2 linked regions of the Xenopus tropicalis genome follow. The protein of the gene in region 1 purifies or fractionates together with the protein of each later gene. This does not show direct contact. Links are inferred from orthologs where the notes say so. Each region holds a gene or a part of one and is shown on either strand. Other genes may lie near its edges.

The links.
Region 2: the proteins of anks3 (region 1) and nek7 purify together in Homo sapiens (affinity purification with mass spectrometry; 3 studies listed by BioGRID and IntAct, with this or other methods). This does not show direct contact. The link is inferred for Xenopus tropicalis from reciprocal best matches to the Homo sapiens genes ANKS3 and NEK7.

What each region holds. Positions count from the first base shown.
Region 1 is NC_030685.2:20,812,054-20,814,929, forward strand, and holds the end of anks3 (ankyrin repeat and SAM domain-containing protein 3), read right to left. Parts: intron 2,551-2,876; coding exon 2,464-2,550; intron 1,239-2,463; coding exon 1,156-1,238; 3' UTR 1,148-1,155; intron 1,059-1,147; 3' UTR 640-1,058; downstream 1-639. Other genes in the region: glucagon receptor, read left to right, coding at 255-296, 397-468. UniProt on the Homo sapiens protein: May be involved in vasopressin signaling in the kidney.
Region 2 is NC_030680.2:111,188,302-111,192,061, reverse strand, and holds the start of nek7 (serine/threonine-protein kinase Nek7), read right to left. Parts: upstream 2,194-3,760; 5' UTR 2,106-2,193; intron 1-2,105. UniProt on the Homo sapiens protein: Protein kinase which plays an important role in mitotic cell cycle progression. Required for microtubule nucleation activity of the centrosome, robust mitotic spindle formation and cytokinesis.

The sequences.
Region 1 (2,876 bases):
GGAGTGGGTGGAGTTTTTGCCATTTTTTGGGAGTGGCCAAGAAAGAATAGGGGTCTTATTTTACTTGTTGGCAGGGCCCCCAGACAGAGACTTGACACTGTTAGCAACTTTAGGTCCTGGACTCTGGGCCAATAATAGCGTCCGTGTGATAGAAAAGTGTTTACCGTAACTCCAAAATGTCTATTTGTTATATAACAGTTAATATTCTCCTCAATTCCAAAATCCCCTCTGGTTTGTCTTCTTGTCTCTCACAGGGTTTCCTGGTGGCTGTGCTCTATTGCTTTGCTAATAAAGAGGTAGGTTTCCCTTTCCAGTTGTCTGGCTTGGATGAAAAGCTCTTTGCAACACTCCTTCATTTTTGCCATATTATTTGCCATAACATTTTTTGCTTTTCAGGTGAAATCAGAGATTCACAAGAAATGGCGGCTTTGGCAGGCAGACAGGAAAGCTCTCGTCTGCCCACGATGACTGCAGTCCCAATCCAAGCTGCCGAGTCCAAGTACAACGCCGCAGTAAAGCAGGGTTCTCCAATGTCTGTGGCGCAGCACGGGGATGGTCTATATTGTATGTAGTGCCTGACACCAGAGGGACGCACAGGAGGAGCAGGGTTGCAATAAAAATGGAACTTGAACCAGTTTGTCTTTTGTTTTTTTTGTTTATTTTATTGTGAGGATAAAAATAGGTCTTTAAAATCTGCCACCTGCAGAGTATTAAATTCACTAATCCCATTTCTCATAAAAGCTTTAACCAATGTCACGTGGTTCCCCTTTAAAAGCCACAGGTACTTATTGCTTTAAATCATTAATCCCCTCTCCCTATGGGGAACCTGCATGTATAATCCTAATCTATGTCTTATTAAAAACCCTGCTCTCTCGTTGCTGATGGAAAGCATCTTAGAATATCGCTGAATCTGCAGATCTGTCTCCCAGTCCTCTGTGCCCTGTAATATCCTGAAGAGGGCGCTGTAAGCGAGAGGCGCCGCCACTGTGATCAACACGCTCCGACATCTTCGGGGTGGAAAAACTTCACCCGCCGTCTTAAGAACAATAGAGATGTGACTGAAAGATAAAGGGATCACAGTGAGCCTCAAACTGTCTGGAGTCCATAGGAGACTGGTACTTTGGAATGAGATGGGTTACAACCCTACCTTACGGATCATGGATCCGGCCATTTATGTCTCCCCTTGTCTGGCATTCGCAGCTTCTCCAGGTTTTCCTGTACTGCTCTTGTTGATTTCCCTGCAGATAAGGATTAAATGTGACATAAACCCAGAGAATGACAATTTCCTGAGCACTTCTGCAACTTTACATTTGTTTTAATAACGATAACAACAACAACAGCAGTTTTTACACTGCTAATATCATAAAAGTGCAACCAGTGCGCCACCTGCTGTTCTGTCCGGGTGTGGAACAGGCAGAATAGACTGCATGGAGCAGCTCTTGAAGGTTTCATACCCAGTTCTATTGCTTTCTATGACAGGAGAGACAGAACTAAAGAGGATGTAGTAAGTTAAAAAGCATGTATCGGAGGCAAAATTGTTTCCACCGCCATGGTATGTACTACTATCTCCTAAATAGAAAATTGCCATTTTGAGTAATAAGGCCGCCTTCTTGGATCATAGGATTCACAGTGCACACAAACAAGCCAAGGCACACATACATGCTAGGCCCCATCAGCCAATTAATGGGCAGAGTTCTGCCTTTTACTTCCACACTACTTCCTGTTACAGTTACATTTATTTCCTGTCATGTGATCTCTGAGGGAGCACACAGCCCATCACTAAATGGTGCCTCAGGGAAAAAGATGTAAAAGGGCAATATTTACAGATATATATATCCAGTTTGGCTTTAAGATGGCCAAATACAATCCAATAAAAACTGGTGACAGACAAAACTGGCAGCTTAGCGGCCCGTGTATAGGGCCCTACAACAAGCCAACAATATCTGGCAGAAAATTGGCGAGATGTTTACCAGGCAGGTCTGATTTTCCTGTTGGATGGAAGACAGGATCTGCGAGTTTATATGGTCCTTGATCTGATGGCTTGCATAGTGGCAATTATGAGCCAATCTTTTGGCCTTCAGTCCAAATGATCAGATCAGCCCAATATGTCCCCATCCTAAGGTGGCCATATAAGGGAAAAATCCGCTTGTATGGTCTTTATTGTCACAGTTTACTGATTATGAGAATGTGTGGGATGTCACGTGCACACTGAGCAAGCCCCTGCCTCTGGGAGGAAAAAAAATTCCCCTGGTAGGTGCCCTTTAAGCTTATGTATCTCTGTCCTGCCCTTGCCCAGTCTAAACACCAGAGGGTGCTAAAAAATGCTAATAGCATGAACAATTTAAGTAAACTTAAGAGTACTATTAAAGCAATTTTACATCAAAATATGTGAGTGGGTTATATGTCCCCTGTAAATATGCATGAACGGTCCGTTTCTATCATTTTAAGGCAATGGTATCTTACCTAATGTTGCAGCAATTTCTTCCAATGATGTGGAAAGTTCTACCATTGACATGGACTTCACAGAAGCCGTACTGATCCCTTCAAGGCCTGAACCAAAGCATAAGTGACTGATATATACTGTATATATAAAATAGGACAGACGGCCTTCACGCACATATATTTACAGACTCTGCACATATTGTATAGGCATAGGTCTAACATACATGCCTTGTGGCAGGCAGCTAGTTCTACACAGATGGCTGCTTGGCAATTACCTATTCTTATACACAGGCCCTGTGGCAGACTAGTGCCAAACATACAAATGTATGCAAACCTTGCGGCACTCAAAGGCTAATTATGAGGTATGAGCAGGCATTTAATGATGAGTTAAATATAATAATTAACAAGGGGATGCATGTGAGGAACATCCTATT
Region 2 (3,760 bases), on another chromosome or scaffold:
TCGTTTGTGGGCGTACCCACCTGGAAATGGATAGAGGAGTGGCGTCTCTGTTCCTAAGACCATCGAAAATATGTGTTTTCCAATGGTCTTAGGCGACCCTTGTGAAAGGGGTCCCAAACCACAGGTTGAGAACTGATGAACTAGAAATAGTGTCTGCTAATCTAGCACTTTAATATGCAAGTTTCTGAAGCAATATGGAGTTAAAGGGAAACTATGCCCCCCAGAATGAATATGTTATGTATATGTTAAGTGACCTATTAAAGAATCTTGCCAAACTGGAACATATATATATATATCAGTAAATATTGGCATTTTACATCCTTTCCCTTGATCCACCATTTAGTGATGGGCTGTGTGCTCCTTCAGAGATCACATGACCAGAAATAATGCAATAATGTTTGTGTGCACTGTGAATCCTATGATCCCAGGAGACGGCCCTTAATTCTTAAAGTGGCAATTTCCTATTTAGGAGTACCCAATGGCACATACTACTAAAGAAGTATATTTTTATGCAAATGGTTTATTTAAATGAAGCAGGGTTTTACATATGAGCTTGTTTATGCAATATATGTTTATAGAGATCTACATTGTTTGGGGGTATAGTTTCCCTTTAACTATAAACAAGGATTTCCAAAGCTAAATTGCCAGTTCCTGTAACCAACTGTCTGCATGGATTACACAAACTATTTAACATGTCAGAGGGAACAGTCTTAAAACTTCTCACAATATAAGCCAAACTGAATCAGAAGTGTTTGAAAGGTGCCCAATGAAGGAATTGGCAGATATACTGTAAAAAGTCCAATGGTTGTATATTGGCCAATGAAGGAGACCATTTTACACCCTATGCACTCTTTACTTGTGACATTTCCATTTTTCAACCATATATTGTTAGCTATTCTCTATTTATCCACCTCCTGTATTGAAGGAATGAAGAAGAATTCCAAACTGAAATTTGTTGCAAAAAAAAAAAATACAAAAAACCTTAAAGCAAGAAACACTGAGTAAAGTACAAAGTCCTTTCCAGATACAACTACTATAGAAGCACAGATACAGTTGGCATGTAACATCCAAGTATTTATTAATTCATGTCTGCAACAAAGGCTGAAGTATTATGCCTGTTTTGTGTGTTCAATGTACACTGAAATTTGCCCTTCTACACATATATAACGCAGAAAGTGTGAACTGAATGAACAATGTTTCTAGAATGCGGTTGCTTTCATAATATTTGCCCTAGATTGTGAATGCCTCTCAGTTCAGTGTGGCTGTGCAGATAAAGAGCTAAGTTTCACTTCGTTTTTGTACTTCTACTGGTTATGCAAGGTAGTATTATAACAGGTGTGGTGGAAAAGGGGGGGCATATGCCCAAGGTAAATATACATTCAAATAATTTCTACTCCGCTACTAATTTATCCATGGGAAGTTAAAAACCCATCTGAACAAGGTCTACTTTACAAAATCAATAACTCTTAAACATAAAATATTTATTACTGCCCAATACACTACCATTAAAACAAATTATATATATATACAAAAGCAAGAGTGGAGCACACCCTACAAAGGCTCAAATGCCTTGGGTCCTGGCAAAATGAGGAAATATAAGGACAGAGAGCCGCACGCAAAAGGACTTAGTGATTAGTGAAAAAATTTATTTGAAAAAAATCCAACGTTTCGAGTACTGACTGTACTCTTCTTCAGGGACAAACCAAAAAACCTACACACCCATGTCTATAACACACTTAGGGGCATATATATTATTGATCAAACCAGTGGCTCGAGGAGGTTTCTCAGTAGTTCGATCTATTTTAGAATTTGGTAAAAATTTCCAGAACGTCGAGTGTTTTTATTGACTTGACACATTTATCAATATCTGTGTCAGTCAAATTGTGTTTGACTGTTTTGGACTGTTTTTGAACAACATGCTGCAATATGGAGTAGTATCTCTGCTCAGCACCTGTTAGATACAAACTGCGCGCAGGCAGAATGGATTCGGACATTTATTTTGCTACAGACATACTTGCTCTTAAATGTGTAGTGAATATTATTTTTGACTGTATATATATATGTCAGTCAAAAGATGTAAGATTGAATTTCAAAAGCATACTTACAAGACTGCTTCTTAGGCGTAGACTTCTATTTAAGCTATGGTTAAATATAATGCAGACTGTTTTTGGTTTCATTTAGCATGTATCAGCCTTAATCACCGCAAAGGTCATTCCACTGCTAAAGGGGAAAAGATGCAGCCATTAATATAGATTTTGGAAATAAGAAAACAATAATTCTAAATAATTTCTAATCCTTTTATACCTTAGAGAAATAACTTTACTTGAAAGATGGATGCAATGCTCTGTGAGGCTATAATTTTATAGTTATTGTTACATTTTATTACTTCTATACAGACCCTCTTCTATTCCAGTCTATTATTGCAGAACTCTGGTTGCTAAGGTTATGTGGACCCTAGCAACCAGATACCTAATTCCAAACTGAAGAGTTGCTGAACAAAAACTAAAATAAAATAATAAAAAACAATTGCAAATTGTTTTAGAATATCATTCTCTACATCATATGTTAACTTAAAGGTGAACAACACCTTTAATGGAAAACTATACCCTCAGAATGAATACATAACCAACATAGTTTATATTATGTTAAGTGACCGATTAAAGAATCTCGCCAAATTGGAATATATATATCAGTAAATATTGCCTTTCTACATCCTTTCCCTTGATCCACCATTTAGTGAGGGGCTGTGTGCTCCCTCCGAGAACGCATTACCAGAAATAATGCAGCTCTAACTGTAACAGGAAGAAGTGTGGAAGCAAAAGGCAGAACTCTGTCCGTTAATTGGCTGATGGGGCCTAGCATGTATGGGTGCCTTGGCTTGTTTATGTGCACTGCAAATCCTATGATCCCAGGAGGTGGCCCTTAATTCTTAAAATGGCAATTTCCTATTTAGGAGTACCCAATAGCCCAAAAAAAAGTAAAAAAGTATATTTTTATAAAAATGGTTTATTTTGGGGTATAGTTCTCCTTTAAGGTTATTAAAAATGGCAGACAAGAATGTATCATCAGCCACTGAGCATAAGAAATTGTTTAAAAGTACTTAGATACAATGGTTTTATCCACTGAAGTAGAATTAAAGAGAGTTTCTGTTCCCATGTGGATTATATTTTATCCGGCCTGCTAGTGGCCTGTTTGCCTAACCAGAGATTACTTTGTGTAGTGGGTTAAAAAAGTTTAATCCCAGTGAGTTCAAAAATTACTTTCCCTGTGTGCCAGAGCCCTAAAGGGGATAGTGGGTTGTAAAGTTTCTAAAGAAGCAGAGCAAATTTAAAAGTAGCCATTATAACATAAATAAAGAGTAAGTAGACCTTTTTTTTAAATCTCTAATATGACTCTTTACAGCCCCCAGAATAACATACCTTTCTCTCTGCACTCAGTCTCATGCAGATTCTGTACCACAAGCAGCTGGACTGCAGCCCACTCTGCTACTTCCTAGTCTAGTGTGAAGCTCCACCCCATTTTCTTTGCAGAGTTCTCCTTCTCTCTCTGATTGTGAAGATGGTCGAAGAGGTGTCAGAGAGAAAAGAAAAGTTCAGCAAATGGGGGGGGGGGGGGGGGGGTAGGGTGTGGAGCTTCACACTAGACTCTCAGTGGTTTTATGAAATTCTGATGATTTTCATCCTAATGTTTTTATTGTTACTGATTATTGCATTTTCCTTACAGGGACAACTGGAATATTACAAATAGGACTTGGATGGAC